Linked DNA regions of Arabidopsis thaliana. Each later gene encodes a partner of the first gene's protein in a complex. Each region holds a gene or a part of one and is shown in the gene's direction. Other genes may lie near its edges.

What was found.
Region 2: AT5G63480 (region 1) and SFR6 share a complex: the UniProt entries of both Arabidopsis thaliana proteins name them as parts of the mediator complex.
Region 3: AT5G63480 (region 1) and AT3G52860 share a complex: the UniProt entries of both Arabidopsis thaliana proteins name them as parts of the mediator complex.
Region 4: AT5G63480 (region 1) and AT3G01435 share a complex: the UniProt entries of both Arabidopsis thaliana proteins name them as parts of the mediator complex.

Annotation. Positions count from the first base shown.
Region 1 is NC_003076.8:25,415,375-25,419,198, forward strand, and holds AT5G63480 (mediator of RNA polymerase II transcription subunit), read left to right. Parts: upstream 1-1,874; 5' UTR 1,875-1,942; coding exon 1,943-2,320; intron 2,321-2,574; coding exon 2,575-2,667; intron 2,668-3,000; coding exon 3,001-3,099; 3' UTR 3,100-3,261; downstream 3,262-3,824. Other genes in the region: AT5G63460 (SAP domain-containing protein), read right to left, coding at 1-25; NF-YC4 (nuclear factor Y, subunit C4), read right to left, coding at 958-1,710; AT5G63490 (CBS / octicosapeptide/Phox/Bemp1 (PB1) domains-containing protein), read right to left, coding at 3,342-3,533, 3,671-3,760. UniProt on the Arabidopsis thaliana protein: Component of the Mediator complex, a coactivator involved in the regulated transcription of nearly all RNA polymerase II-dependent genes.
Region 2 is NC_003075.7:2,496,251-2,500,951, forward strand, and holds the start of SFR6 (sensitive to freezing 6), read left to right. Parts: upstream 1-1,680; coding exon 1,681-2,018; intron 2,019-2,095; coding exon 2,096-2,164; intron 2,165-2,254; coding exon 2,255-2,343; intron 2,344-2,426; coding exon 2,427-2,539; intron 2,540-2,650; coding exon 2,651-2,752; intron 2,753-3,196; coding exon 3,197-3,287; intron 3,288-3,474; coding exon 3,475-4,071; intron 4,072-4,279; coding exon 4,280-4,701. UniProt on the Arabidopsis thaliana protein: Component of the Mediator complex, a coactivator involved in the regulated transcription of nearly all RNA polymerase II-dependent genes.
Region 3 is NC_003074.8:19,591,296-19,594,495, reverse strand, and holds AT3G52860 (mediator of RNA polymerase II transcription subunit-like protein), read left to right. Parts: upstream 1-1,727; 5' UTR 1,728-1,754; coding exon 1,755-1,974; exon of another isoform or gene 1,975-2,164; coding exon 2,165-2,280; intron 2,281-2,363; coding exon 2,364-2,498; 3' UTR 2,499-2,648; downstream 2,649-3,200. Other genes in the region: AT3G52870 (IQ calmodulin-binding motif family protein), read left to right, coding at 18-164, 262-354, 483-584, 691-1,131; VSR1 (vacuolar sorting receptor homolog 1), read right to left, coding at 2,806-2,901, 3,001-3,113. UniProt on the Arabidopsis thaliana protein: Component of the Mediator complex, a coactivator involved in the regulated transcription of nearly all RNA polymerase II-dependent genes.
Region 4 is NC_003074.8:166,014-170,312, reverse strand, and holds AT3G01435 (uncharacterized protein), read left to right. Parts: upstream 1-2,024; 5' UTR 2,025-2,207; intron 2,208-2,259; exon of another isoform or gene 2,260-2,282; 5' UTR 2,283-2,328; coding exon 2,329-2,595; intron 2,596-3,283; coding exon 3,284-3,460; 3' UTR 3,461-3,799; downstream 3,800-4,299. Other genes in the region: AT3G01450 (ARM repeat superfamily protein), read left to right, coding at 123-410; PnsL3 (PsbQ-like 1), read right to left, coding at 906-1,004, 1,128-1,414, 1,559-1,835; AT3G01430 (NHL domain protein), read left to right, coding at 4,176-4,299. UniProt on the Arabidopsis thaliana protein: Component of the Mediator complex, a coactivator involved in the regulated transcription of nearly all RNA polymerase II-dependent genes.

The DNA of each region.
Region 1 (3,824 bases):
ATGGTTGAGATGATGAAGCCTCCATTGACAAACCACTGATAAACCCTAGCCGAGGAAGACGAACCCAGAAGAGCAAGAGAGGGCGAGAGAGCAAAGAGAGAACAGACAGAAAATCGTTTAGGAACAAAGCGGCACAGAGATGGTCACCGTCCGATTGCGTCTATTGGAGAAAGATATGGGCCTTATTAGGCCTTAAGATGATTAAGTAAGAAGTTAATATATGGGCCTTAATATAATTTATATATACATGTTAAAACGTGGTCTATTCAAAGCTAATATATAGGCCTTATCAGGCCTTAAGATGATTAAGTAAGAAGTTATTATAAGAGACAGAGAACTCAAAGCTACTACAAGCCATGAAATACAAACTCAATATGCCATACATAAGCTCTGATCATTACTAGATTAGGAGCAAGAATCAACAAAAATACAAAGCATAGATTAGAATCTGCACATTTAGATTAATATATAGTTAAGCAAGTCTGCAGTTTTGCTGCAATAACTTATAAGTTAACAGGAAAAATGAAAAAGAGCTTTTTTGTTTTGTTTTGTTTGATCTCTCTCTCTCTCTCGAGTAAGTCATTCGAATCATAGACATATAAGAATCAGACACTTGCAGGGTCGAAATGATGATTAAATCTCTAAGCTTCTGGTTCCATAGCTCAACTGCACAACATTGTACAAATAATCAAAGGTGTGAGTCAAATCAAATAATGGATATCAAAATTGTGTATTTTACAAAGTTTTGTTTATGAATCTAAAGAAATGAGCCAGATGATACTGTAAATTGAGCTTCTTTGATATTATCAATTTTTAGCTTATTTGATGAGAATCAATGAAGATGACACAGAGCAGCAAATTCCTCTAAGACTAATCAAAGCAAGCTCATGAAGAATCTCAATAACCATAGATAATCAATTGCAACAAGCTACATTGCTGAATATTACTAGAATTCACTTACCCTTGGCTATCGAGATTACCATGGCCGCTACTTCCTCCACTTCCATAAGACACATCATCACCACCACCAGCTGAATTCTGCCAAACGCTTTGCCATGCCTGAGAAGGAGGCTGAGCATAAACACCGCTAGGATCCATCGCCGGTCTTCCAATCATCATCCCTCCAGGAACCGCCGGTTGTCCCATCGGTGGATAATAATAAGGAACACCGCTCGCGGCGGGAGCAACCATACCTCCTCCACCAAGAGCCGATGCTGCATCTTCCTCTTCCTTGATCTCTTCCCTAGGAACAATATCAACAAGGAAATCGAAGATATCGGTTCTAGTAATCGCAGCAGCGATATCGTTTTTCTGAAGCGTACGACGTTTGTTCTCTTCAGCGTGAAGCCAAGATCTAATCGTAAGTTCGAGAATGAAAAGCTCACAAGCTTTCGCGAAGAGAATCGGTGCTTCGGCGGAGATCATACGCACATCTTCATCAGCTTTCATGATTTTTTTGATACGAGCTAGAGGGAGCTGATGGTTTTTGAAATCGTTTACCTGTTCGATCTCTTGTCTCTGGTATGTCCAGAACATTTGAAGCTGTTGCTGTTGTTGCTGGAGGAGGTGGTGGTATGTCGCTCCTCCTCCGGTGACTATTGATGCAGATCCAGATGGTGGAGGAGGGATTACGGTTGTGACGGCGGAGCCAGGTGGATAGACGGAGGTTGGTGGTGGTTGCTGGTTGTTGTTGTTGTTGTTATTGTCCATTGGATCTTTGCCTTGTGATTGGATCAAAAGATCAAACTAACGTTTTAGATAGTTTTTGTCATATGGATTGGAGTAATAGTGGATAAGGTAGACAGCGATGTAGCTGATTTCTTTCTATTTTTATTTATCTATAAAAACTATATTATTGATATATATATTATATAGTTTGATTAAAACGACATCGTATTAATAGTTTAGTCAACCGACGCCGTGATAAAGTGTGTTCACGGTGATGCTGCAGAAACAGGTCTCGACGACGACGACGATGACGACACAGGAGCTAGCGATGGAAGGAGAGAAGCAATTGGAAGAAACTATTGAAGCGGCGTTTCAGATAATTTCAGCCATGAATGATGAGCTTTGTAATCCGTCTTTGTGGTCTACTTCAGCTACCCCGAGTTCCGCCGCGACGACGACGGGTTCTAATGGTTCGGCTCTCGTTTCCGCCGATGCGGCTGCGATTGATGGAACATCGCATCATTCGGAATCTGCTGGTGGTGGCGGGGGCGGAGGAAGTGGAAATAGTGTTTTGGATGAGGCGAGTCTTCGGTATAAGAACTCAGTGACTTCGCTTCGTGCTGTTCTTGCTGCGATTCCAAATTCGCAGAAGGTATTGAACATAATGTGATGTTACTAACTATTTCGAGAAGTGTTTTGTTCTGAGTTGTTTCTGGACTGAGGAAATTTTGAATTCCTAGGGTGTTTTGAGATCTTAGATTAGGAAATCTTCGAATCGATAGAGAGTTTAGATGAAGGATCTAATGCTTGTTGAGTGTCTTGTTCTTCACTTGTAGTGAACTTGCTTAATTTTAAATGAGAGCTTTTTTGAGGTTTCATAAATTTGAATTTGTTCATCTATTACAGGCAAAAGCATCTGAAATGCAAAATGGTTTAGGATCTCCTGAAAGTGAAGACGAGATCGAAAAATTGGAGGAGCAAGCCTTAAGTCTCAGAATGGTAAAGCTTTCTGCAATTTCTACATCTCTTTGTTTTCAATCTGATGTTACTACATTGATACACTATTCAGTCTCGAATTCTCTGTACATTTCAACTCACATAGCATTGAATTTGATTCATATTTTCTTGTATAAAGTGTTCTTTCCCACTGTCTAGTGTAAGTGTTTGTATCATTATAGCTTAAGCGGTTCTAGAACCATGGAAATGTTGATAATTTTTTGAATACATTTCAGCCATCTGGTCATTTTGATTTCTATGTTAATAACCTTATGGGAAGTGATTATATTGTTCTTCTCTGTTGGCATTAATAAACGGAAGCTTTTGTTCATGCAGGAGATTGCAAAGAAGAATGTTCATGTTAAAGAACTTATAGATAAACTTCGGGAACTTATAGCAGATATCTCTACATGGCAAAGCCCTTGTTCTGTTTGAGTTTTATTTTTTTGACAATAGTGAGATCAGTTTAGACAAAGATTCTAAGCCTTGTTCTTGAATTACTCCATGTATTAGTTTTAGATATTTGTTATTTTGATATCATGAAGCCAAAAAAATAATCAAAAATGACTTTTGTATATAAAAATATTTCAGACAAAACCTTCAAACCCTGTGTCTGTTTTTCTTTTTTGTTTGTATTGATCTGTTAAAGAAACACTTCTTGTAGTGTTTCTGAGGAATCAATGACCGAATTTTCTGAGAAAAGCCATAAAACCAAGACCAGCTACTAATGCTGCACCAGCCGCAACTCCACTATAAGCAGCAGCCCAAGCGTCTGTCTCTACATACTCCATTGATTCTGCTGATCCTGATGCTCTTCTCCTTCTTCTTCCTTTGCCTTCTCTTGAATCATCCAAATGTAATCTCAGACTCTGCAATTTATAATGATCAAATCAATTCAGAAAGCAAAAGGGGTTTATGGGCAATCTCATGAAGGTTTCATCTTCGACTTTGGTTCTTGTTGCTTATCAACCAAAAGTTTAAAGCAGGAGGAAATCGTTCTTTTTACCTTCCAGCCAATTGATTTTGCATGCTCTATGGCTGCTTGAAGGTCACTATCTGAAGCCAACAACACTTTATCGTGGTCTTCATCTTCATACTGCACATTATAACCATCATTTTAACAATTCAGGGGGTGACAAGAGAAGAATTAGATAATGATT
Region 2 (4,701 bases), on another chromosome or scaffold:
GGCAAAACAACCTTCACATAGGGAGATTTTTAAATTGAACAACTAGCTCAAGTAAACTTATAAGTAATGTTGTAAACATGGAATGAATAAGTTTGAAATTTGGTGCATTCTTAGATATGAGAAGGTGGTTAAAAGGGTATGGTGCAAAGACATATCCATCCCTAGTATTTAATAGATTGAAAGAAGGAATTTTTTTTTGGTTCTAGTTTAATGAGTGAAAATGAAAAAATAAATAAAAAGGCAAATGAAGATGAAGATGAACTCAAACTTTTGACTCTCTAATGTAATCTTATAAGCAAATAACCAACTTTTCTACTGAAAGTTATAAGAAAATGAGGCAAAAGTTTTATTTATATTAGGGAATTTAATGAAAAAAACCCTCAACTTTGGCCAGATCCATTTTTAAACCCTAAACTATGTTTTTAGTAAAACAAACCCTGAACTAAAACCTGTTAATAAACTTAACCCCACAGTAATTAAACAACGTTTAGGGTTAAGTTTATTAACAGGTTTTAGTTCAGGGTTTGTTTTACTAAAAACATAGTTTAGGGTTTAAAAATGGATCTGGCCAAAGTTGAGGTTTTTTTTCATTAAATTCCCTTTATATTAATTGAAGCCGCAAGCATGAGCTTGACCCGTTTGTGCTCATGGATGGCTCTGCTTGTATCTAGTTAGAAGCCGAAACAACTAGTTTTCAGTACGCTATGCATGTAACTCAAAGAATTTGGTGTAAGCAATAAGTGATTCTCATTCTTGGTCGTGCTACATTGAGGGAGATACAACAACCATGGGAAACACTTATGCCTAAGCCTAACTTTTGATTTGGGAGGAGGCAAATGAACTAATGCCTAAGCCTAATATTTTGCACAACTCTACTCGCGTGGCACCTCTTATCATCTTCAAATTGGTGGATCGTGAGCTTCGCAACCTAATCACTTCTCGACGACATCGCAAGCGTTGGCAGCGGCTAATGCTTTTATGGATTCGTTAAACACACCTAAATCTTTTCTAATTCTATTGTAGCCTTGTTTTTATTTTTTTTGCCTTGGTTACTTTTCTATAGGTTGTACGTTCTTGTATTTTCTGAACTCTCATTGTAATGATATTAACAAATTTAGCAAAAAAAAAAAAAAACTAATGTCAAACAAGGATCCTCAAATGCCAAATGTCAAATTAAGTTAGTACCTTTCCATGTTTACAAATTTGAATTTGAAGATGGTAAATTAGAAGAAAAAATGAAATTATGATCATTTTCCTTAATCAAAAGATTCAAAACTATCATTTAAAATTTACTTCTTCATTTTTTGCTCTTAAAAGAAAAAGTAAAAAATTACAAAAAGAGGGGAAAAAAATTTAGAGAGAAAGTGACCAGACACGACGGCGTTTTTGCATCACTTTCACCGAGATTTTTTTTCTGCATCCCGGCGACGAGACTGTGACTCCACCAAACCCTAAAATCAAAATTGCATTTTTTGTTCGATTTTGATTTTGTGGGGATTTTGGAATTTTCCCCGCACTAAGTCGTCTCGTTAACCCCACTTAACAGTTTCTCACTTTGACACTTTCTCTCTCTCTCAACGCACAGTGCTTTCTGTCGCCTTCAATCGCGACTTTTTGTCACACTTGCCCTCTTTTCTCCGATTTTTCTATAAATTTAGGGTTTTGTTTGCTTTCGTTGACATGAATCAGCAAAACCCAGAAGAAGAAGTTTCTTTGGTTAATAATAGCGGTGGTGGAGGAATCATCGAAGCTCCAGCTATAGTGGAGGAGAAAGAGGAAGAAGGATTACAGCAGAAGCAGGAAGAGACTATTGAGTCTACCGATCCGATTCTCGTCGTCGTTGAGGAGAAATTGTTAGAGAAATCAGTAGACGGAGAGAAAGAAGACGATAATAGTAGTAGTAGTAACATGGAGATTGATCCTGTGAGTCCGGCTACAGTTTTCTGTGTTAAGCTTAAGCAGCCCAATTCCAATTTGCTTCATAAGATGAGTGTTCCTGAATTGTGCCGTAACTTCAGGTTTGACTCTCTCTCCCATCGGAAAATCTTTAAATTTCATCAATTCCTGTAAAGTTTTCTCCTTTTCTTTGTGTTAGTGCTGTTGCGTGGTGTGGCAAATTGAATGCTATTGCTTGTGCTTCCGAGACCTGTGCCAGGATTCCAAGGTATGGTTTTTGTTACTTTTCTATGTCTTGAATGTATGGGCAGTGATGAATTTCTCAATTTTCATCTTTCTCTGTTCTCATCTCTTGCAGCTCCAAGGCAAATACACCTTTTTGGATACCAATACATATCTTGATACCTGAGCGCCCTACTGAGTGTGCGGTGTTTAATGTTGTGGCAGGTATTTTGATATCAGTTAATTATTTATGAACTCGGTTGATCTAGTGGGTGATAAACGATTATGATGCAATTTTTTATATGTAGACTCTCCTCGTGATTCTGTCCAATTTATCGAATGGTCTCCCACTTCTTGTCCTCGTGCGTTACTCATTGCTAATTTTCATGGACGTATAACTATCTGGACGCAGCCTACTCAGGTTTGTGCTCCTGATCACTGGGATTTACCTTTATATTTCTTCTTTGTCTTCTGTGTCAAGATGTTTTATGACACCCTCAGATGATTTTTTTTTTGTGGATTGGTTTTGCAGGGTTCGGCTAATTTAGTGCACGACGCTACCTCCTGGCAGTGTGAGCATGAATGGCGTCAGGACATTGCTGTTGTTACAAAGTGGCTGACAGGGGCTTCCCCAGTATGTAATCTTATGTTTTGCTTATTTGCCATTCTATCAAATGCACAGCATATTTGTCCCTTAATGAGTTCGTTAAATTAGTAATGGAGGGCTTGCATGTGAGAGTGGGCACTGGGATTACTAAATCGTGAGTAATTGAACTGGAAATGTCTCTACGTTTTGGAGGAAATGAGATGGAGAAAACACAACGTCCTGGAAATCCCAACTCTCTGTTTGCAAAATTACTAGACTCCTAAAAGATCTTCCAATTTGCGTTTCTTAGATGCATTTCTTTAATGATCGGCATGAACACATAAGGAAATGAGTAACAGATAGATAATAATGCCATTGCAAAGAACATGTTCTGAAGGACTTAATATCATGTTGTTTCTGGCCACCTAGTTTGCTGCTCTAGTTTTATCCTAGGAAATTTATCCTCTATGTTTTCTTTTTATTGATAATCAGTATAGGTGGTTGTCCTCCAAGCCAAGTTCTGGTACAAATGCAAAGTCAACTTTCGAGGAGAAATTTCTCTCGCAGAGCTCTGAAAGCTCAGGTTTTCTTCTGCGTGCCTCTTGTGACTCATTTTTTGATGATATATTCAGAATTATGCACTTAATTTTAATTATGTCAGTTCCTTTGACATCCAAATATATGTGACAAGATCAATACAACATGTTCTGACGTTAGTGCATTTTCCTCCACTTTATGTGACGGTTCTGATTCTCTACCATTTGTTGCAGCTCGGTGGCCCAACTTTCTCTGTGTATGCTCTGTTTTCTCATCCGGCTCTGTTCAAATTCATTGGTCCCAGTGGCCTTCTAACCAGGGAAGCACTGCACCAAAGTGGTTTAGTACAAAGAAAGGTCTTTTAGGTGCAGGGCCAAGTGGAATTATGGCTGCTGATGCTATTATAACAGACAGTGGTGCCATGCATGTAGCAGGAGTTCCAATTGTAAACCCTTCAACAATTGTAGTATGGGAGGTGACCCCTGGCCCTGGAAATGGACTCCAGGCGACTCCAAAAATCTCTACAGGCAGTCGTGTGCCACCATCCCTTAGTTCTTCTTCTTGGACAGGTTTTGCTCCTTTAGCTGCGTACTTGTTTAGCTGGCAAGAATACTTAATATCCGAGATAAAGCAAGGGAAGAAGCCCTCAGATCAAGATTCCAGTGATGCTATATCGCTAAGTTGCTCACCGGTTTCCAATTTTTCTGCTTATGTAAGTCCAGAGGCTGCAGCTCAGTCTGCAGCAACCACAACATGGGGATCTGGTGTTACCGCTGTTGCTTTTGATCCAACTCGTGGTGGTTCAGTGATAGCAGTTGTTATAGTTGAAGGTACTGTTCTCATCCTTCTCGGAACCTCATACTGTTTCCATGATTGAATAAACATTTTCAGGTTTACGTTTAGTTTTTGGTCAATCATTTAGAAATGCTCATATATTGAAGAGCTGCCAGATGAGAAAATGCTAATTTTGTTTGAGTGATGAAGCGCAACAGCTTCAATCTATTGTTTAAAATAAATGCTAATTGTTTGTGTCTGCAGGGCAGTACATGTCTCCGTATGATCCAGATGAAGGTCCTTCAATCACAGGCTGGAGAGTACAGCGCTGGGAATCAAGTGTTCAACCTGTTGTACTGCATCAGATATTTGGAAACCCAACTTCAAATTTTGGAGGACAGGTCCCCACGCAAACTGTCTGGGTATCCAGAGTGGATATGAGCATACCACCTACTAAAGATTTTAAGAATCATCAAGTAGCTGCAGCAGGACCAAGTGTGGATGCACCAAAGGAGCCTGATTCTGGTGATGAGAAGGCTAACAAGGTTGTATTTGATCCTTTTGATTTGCCAAGTGATATTCGGACACTTGCACGGATTGTCTATTCTGCTCATGGTGGTGAAATTGCGATTGCTTTTCTTCGTGGTGGAGTTCATATCTTTTCTGGTCCAACTTTTTCACCTGTT
Region 3 (3,200 bases), on another chromosome or scaffold:
GCCTTTTCTGGTATCAGCAAGAGAGGGAAGAGTATGAGTATGTGATCATAGAAGGGAAGATTGTTCACAAGTTAACTGGAAAGTTCTTACACACAATGCATGGATCGGAAGGAACAAAATGGATCTTTGTTATGAGTACTTTCAAGAAACTCTATGCCGGTCTGGTAAGTTAAAACCGTTATATCTTTCTATTGGTGATGAATTGATATTAGTATTGAAAAAGATTCTAATGGTTCTTTTCTTTGTTTATGTTTACTTCAGAAAAAGAAAGGAAGGTTCCATCACTCAAGCTTTTTGGCTGGAGGAGCTACATTAGCTGCTGGGAGGGTGATTGTTGACAATGGAGTTCTCAAGGTAACTTACTAAGGCCACGTCCTTTTCTTAGAGTGGTTGAGATACATGTTCATTCATATCAACTTTTTTATTATGTCTGCCTTCTGTGATTTCTCTGTTTGATCGTTCTGTTTTCGGTTTAATCTCAGACAATCTCTGCATATAGCGGACATTACAGGCCGTCAGACGATAGTCTCGACACATTTCTCGGGTTTCTCAGAGAGAACGCAGTGAACCTAGACAATGTTGAGGTAATGCCCTTGTTCTAATCTTGGCTGGTGAATGATATCATTAACTAGAGTTTGGTTGTTTAGAAAAAGAGACTACTTGAGAGCTAATATATCTATGTATGTGTAGGTGCATAAAGCTAGTGAAGATTCTGACAGCTACGATGATTATGTTAAATCCAACGGAGGATCTGAACCGGAACCGTTAAAGAAAGAGGACACAACATTCCAAGCAGAGACTGAAACAGATGAGAACGGTAACGGAACAGTGGGAACACTTGAGGAGGCAAAACGGAGTAGCTACCAGAGAACACTCTCAGGTGGACTTGGGAGTCCAAAAGCTAACGTGCCGCAGAAATCTATGCTACTAAGGATAAACTCAAAGAAACAGTCAAGATCATTACAATTGGGACATCAGTTGTCACTGAAATGGTCGACAGGAGTTGGTCCAAGAATCGGTTGTGCAGCTGATTATCCGGTTCAGCTCAGAACACAGGCTTTGGAGTTTGTTAACTTGTCTCCTAAATACCGGAGTAGCAGACTTTCTCCGACCGGGAAGCTTGATGTCTGATCATATGTTCCGTACTTCCTTATGTAGTAGTAAATGAGAATCTTTCTTCTGTAACTAATGTGTGAGTTCTCTATCTAAGGTTTTTGTTGTCATCTTTTCACATGGATGATTGTGAATCAGAAGGAAGAGAATGAGAGATGTGTTAAAAGCTATTTTCACTGATAATGAAGAGAATGGTTACAGTATTTAGTCAATCGCTTACTCATTTTACAAATTTCATTAGAAAATCCATAGCTAAAAAATCTTTAAGTAAGGATGTAACTTATCTAATTTGATGGAGATAAAAAGTTACATAAGGAATCAAAATTTGTTACAAAAGCCATCATCTGTTATATCTTGTGACATCAAATCAAGAGTAAAGTATCAGAAAATGTTGTTCCTTCTCCTTACTATTGTTTTTTCATATGAAATAAATGATTTACTTCATATATTTATTAAAAATGAATTTTCAGTGTTTTCAATTAATTACATCAAAATGATATTCTTAAGAACAATTAAGAATGTGGAAAAGGCCCAATAAGCCCAAATTAAATCCAGTAAATGGGCCCCCATTATAATATTTTTCACTAAACCTTATGGGCAAACAAACAAGCAGAGAGAAAGAGAGATCGAGATCGGCGTGAATGGATTATCAGCAAAAGCCGCCGCAGTCTTCTGACCCTTCGCCGTCACCGCCTGACCGTCCACCGGGAATCAGATCACCGGAGACCCCCTCGAACAATCAGAATAATGACATAGAGGACATTATGGCTTGCGTCACAGCCTTGGAAGCTGCTCTGTTACCATGTTTGCCGGCGAGAGAGCTTCAGGCCATCGATCGCTCTCCTCACCCTTCTCATCAAAGTCAGTCCCTTTTCTACTCTCCAATTTCACCATTCTAGGGTTTTAGTTTGAATGATAGTTTGGAAGTTGTGTTTGTTTTTGTGCTTAACTTATGATCTCAGTGAATTTTGTGCTTAGAATTCAGTTGAAACCGAAGCTTTGATTCCATATTCGATGTTCTAGCTTAATTCCCCTCATTGAACTGCTGCAGTTGATGTGGAGCGGCACGCCAGAGATTTCATGGAAGCTGCGAAAAAGCTTCAGCTTTACTTCATGGGACTAAAGCGAGAAGATCGCGCGCCCTCGAGAGCTGAAAGCCTTAAGAAGGTGTGGTTTGATTTACCAATGTGAAAACTCCAAACACATATTGTCTTACCAGTTTCTGCTCTCTTCTGTTCTGTTCTTAACAGGATATTGCAGTAATGGAGGAAGAGCTTAAGACAAAAGATGAGCTTATAAAGAAGCACATGAGGCTTTTCCAAGAGTCGCAGAAGCTTGTGAAAGAACAGATTGAGAAACACAGAGATGAGCTGGAGAAAGTTTAACAATCTCTCAATCAAAGTTTATTGTTTTTCTTCTTATGGATCTTAAGTTAGTTTCAACAGTAAATAATGTAACACTCATTATTCATCCAGTTATGTCTATTTTACATTGTAAGAGTAATATGCAGACAAAAAGGAGATTCCATCTGCAAATCCACATTTCTTACAAATAGTGCAGGTACACTTATTTCTGTTTGTGGCTTTTTTCTTTTCTCTAGAGTTGTATCAAGTCCATTGATTCATTTACATGGAAACTTAAAGCTACTCATAGAAAGAGAGAGAGTCTCTTGGCTTGTGTTGATAACTTCACTCATATATCCATATGGTGACCACTTGTGTTGGGTGGTTGACTTTCCAATGGCATGTACTGTGCCATGATCCCTCTAATTTCCGCATCCATGTAACTCTGCATAATTTCAATTGTTACTTAGCATCTCTATCTAGACCGCAAAATCTTCCTATGTTTTAATATGATAACAAGACCAGAGTAAAGAACATCGTATACCCTGATTCTGTATTTGTAGACTGCATATCCAGAAAGACCTGCAACACCCACCCCGATTATAAGGATCCACAAAAAGCTCCAGCTGAGTTTTGTGGTTCCAACTTTGCCTGAACCTACACATTCACCAGATTCAAAAGCAGAAAGTCTGATTAATGACTCCAAATTAAGTATGGGGCTAGGAGGAAGGAAGATCTATTTCT
Region 4 (4,299 bases), on another chromosome or scaffold:
GATATCATAAAACCAGTCTTGTTCTTTTGTTTTGGATTTGTCATGTCATCACCATGACAACCAATTTGGATCCAGTCCATGTTCCCACCAACATCACCTTTCTTTGGCTGTGTAATCATTAGGGCATTGAAGGCATTAGAGAATATGGAATTGAGAAACTAGTCCAAGCAGCATCGTCTCAGCTCAGTGACCAACTCCCAGAATCTCGGGAGGCTGCACGGGCAGTCTTACTGGAACTTCAGACAGTGTACAAGAAAACTACTAATGTCGAACCGAAGGAGGAGCATCCAGAGCCAGTCACTTGGCAAATCTTCTGCCAATCAAACCTCTCACCTCTTAGTGCACAGGCTGTGATACGTGTCACCAATGTCGCAGGTGTGGCTCGAGAGGGTCTTGTTGCGGGTTCATGACAGTCACAAGCCCTCAGTTTGATATTGTAAGCCTCTGTGAGTAAACGTTGTACGACCACTGTTTCTCTATCTTTGGTTTATGGGTTTGTTTCTTTATTTTGTGTGTGAATATGTCGATGTGGTAAGATAAATCTCAACGACTCAACCGTTAGTTTTAGGCAAAAAGTTAGTCGGTTTATTTGATATATATCATGTTTTAGTCTATATTACATTGGTTTTCTTAAAACTTTTTTTTTTTTTGGCCAAATGTTTTCTTAAAACTAAGATTTCAATATTAAACATTTAGTGCATATACTCTTCTTTCTGTATCTTTGATTGAAAAATTAAAATCCAATTCGTTATAAATTTGATCATATTTTGGTCTATACATTACATTTTTTTTTTTTGATTACTAGATCTCAATATTTTTCCGCAAAGATTACAATTTATGACCACAGAGTTATCAACCATGTAGGATCATCAATAGCAAGTAAACCGGTATAAACCGAACCAGGATCATGCCATTCTGGTCATTACCTCTTGAAGAAGAAACTTTGTATCTTTATAACACGATTCCGTCTCTGCTAAGTTCTTCGTCTTAGCTGCATCTTCAAGCTGTGTCGAAACACCAAGAAAACAACAAATAAACATATAGGATATATCAGAAAAGAGAAGAAATTTTAAAAAAACAATAGTCTCTTCGGTTTGAACGAACCAGGACTTCATTAGTACACTTACCTTTTCGAAATTGTCGAACAATCTGTTGGCTAAATCAGTGAGAGGTTGCTTGTCTTCAGAGGCAGCAGCAGAGATGAGATTGTCGAAATCGTAAAACAAAAATGTGGATTTAAGCCTCAAGTACTTTTTCACATAGTTTAAAGTATCTGGTCCGATCAAATCCTCCATTGCCAAGAGATCAAAAGCATTCTTTTTAACTCTATACATTCTTCCTTTCGTCCCGATATCCGCTACATACACTCCTTTCTTTATGAATGTTCTCGTTCCCGTCTTCTCATTCACGATATCTGTATATTCAAATCGAGGACGAATTCAAAACCGGAAATCAAATGATTCTACCAAATCGAATTCTCATCTTGAATAGTTGTATGGCTCAAAATGTTCAAACATTTGAAGAAAGAAAACAATCAAGAATATAAAATGGCGCTTACTGTTGTAAATAGGAGGAATTGGAAGAGGACCATCAATCCAAAACCCATTGTCTTGTGCCAAGGAAACATTATTTTCGCCGAGAATTCCGGTAAGACCTATTGAGACAGCAAATCCTAATGTCATCCGTCTTGTGATCTGTACCGAATCCGGTTCTTGAAATTCTTCAGTTCTCCTGCAAGCAAACCCGCTGGATTTCCCGGTTTTACGACTCTCGGGTAGTTTCGGAAGAGACGGTAAAGTGTTGGTGAGACTGTTGAGGTCTATGAAGTGAGCCATTGCAGTTAGAGAGTAAGCTTTAGGTGTCAGCCTCTGTTCTTGTGTATTGTTTACGGTTTTTATCCGTTATAAATGAGAAAAGCGGCCATCACAAAGATTTTATCTGAACCAAGGGGTGTTTTCGTAATTCAATATTTTAACTACTCGCTGTTCCTGAATTGATAAAGTAGAGTTCGTGCCGTTTTACGTGACAAAAAAAACTTGTATCTTCTTTGCTTTTTCCTTCACCGATCTGTATTGCCGAGTGTCGCCGATTCCCCAAAATCTTCCCTCCGTTGCTGATCATAAGCACGCCGTTTCCAATCGAAATTCTCCGTGTTATTTCATCGTCTCTGCCATCTTCACTGTCTCGCGTCGCCGTGTTCGATTGAGGTACTCCCACTGCTCCGATTTGAGTATTTAGGGTATGTGTATGAGTGGATTTGACGGTATTGTGATATATCTCAGTTTGGAGTTCTCTCTCTCTGGTCTAAAAGAAATCGTGGAGAGTCCAATGGATCCGCAGACGCAGAACACTTCGTTGCAGCGACTCCAGAATGTTGAGAATGTGAAATTTTGGAAAACTCACTCTTTCCTTAGAGATTTTATTGGACGATTTGATGTGAATGTGTTTTTGTGTTTTTATTTTTGGTTTTCCGGGCAGAGAGTTGTTAAGGTTTTGGAACTAGCTGGTGGAGTGATGGAAGAACTCGCGAGCCCTTCTGGTCCCAAGAAAGAGTTCGTCAACAGCCATTGCCGAGAGTTTATGCAATCTATGAAGGTTTCTTACTCTATCTCTTCTTCAAATATTTTCTGATTTCTTTTGCATTAGTGTATTAATAAACTACCTGATCAAAGAACATTGGGGATCACTTGACACAAGTCTAGCTAGATTAGTGTTCTTGCTGACTCAATCTCTCTGGGGAATTGGTATCTTTTCTCGAGTGTTGATCGTTTGGGCTAATTTGACACAAGTCTATATTAGGGTTCATTACATTTCCTGATCAAAGTTAAGGGCTTTGTTTAGAATTTTGATTTTGGTTTTAGTCTTCAAGATGGCCGCTGCTTCTCGTTTTGTGATTCTTCTGTGACTAGTTAACATATGGGTTCATGTATCACAATCTCTAGGTTTGTATTCCTTTCCTGTTTCTTAGGATTTGACATTGATCCTTTATTCTTAGGCTTAAGGTTTATGAGTGATGGATGCTGATATTTTCATATTGGATGGAATCTCACTGTTTAAAGAACATTTGGGCTCTCATTTGACACATGTCTAGATTAGGGATCATTACATTCTGTGAACAAGTAAAAAGCTTTTGATTCTGCTTTTTTTCTAGAGATAATCATAAAGTTTGAAGATATCAGCTTCATTGTCTGGTTCATGAACTTGTTGATCTTTGACTGTACATAAATGTGCTATAATGTTATCGCCAATCCATAATAAGATGAAGTTCTTGTGAAACTTGCAGGATATACAAGTGACACTAAGGGAAGAGATCAAAAGCGCTTGCGAGTACCGTCCCTTTGAGAAATGCGATTACAACGCGAGAATAGCCAATGAGATCTGCTTCCAGAAGCTTGAATATGTTCTCACGCAGCTTGAAGATCTGAAACAAACTGCTGACCGGTATCCTTCTTCTGATTGATATTGGTATTCATAAAAAGGTTACTTGAAGAACTATACTAAACCATCGGTTGTGATATAGTTTCCAGATGAGTTGTAGACTTGTAGGTTATCCCATTAAAGTATGTCCGGTTTTTACGAATGAGTGGCTTGTTGCAAAAGTAAGATATTATCCTACTTACTATATTAGATTTTGCAAAAAGATTAGGTGATTTTGGTTAGAACATTCACTTGCAATGAATCTGTTCCAAGAATATTAGATACATTACATCCACTGGGAGTTATCAATTTCAGCTTATGGAGAAATCGAACCAATTTTGGGCCAGAGAGAAACGGACCAATTTTATTGCGGTTTAATGTATCGATCAATACTTGGAACCAAATGTGCTAACGTCAATTACGTATATGAACCCCTTCATTCATATGTGGTTTAATAAATTAATAGCATCAACAGCTGAAATTCCCGGTTAGATGTGATAAAACCAAAGCGGTTAAAAAGGGTTAATGAGAACCAATATTGCCGGGTTGGCGGTTACGCCGTTTTGTGCTCTTCTGTTTTAGTTACAGCTCAAGAGACGCGTTGATTGGAGAAGGTGATAGAAATCTCTTGGGTAGAGGGAGAAAATTAGGGTTTAGAGTTGGAGATGAGAAGAGGAACGACGATCTAAGGAGACAAAAGAGAGTAGCTAGATCAGGACGAAATTCCATATTTCCTTCGTTTCTGTTTCTCTCTGAGAATGAGTCATCAATCGCCGCCGATCGCTGAAGTTGATGCCACCGACGATATGCACGAGGCGTTGTTCGCGAAGCGAGGTTGTTGTTTCCTCATGCCCTGCCTTGCCTCATCTCAGCCATCAACTC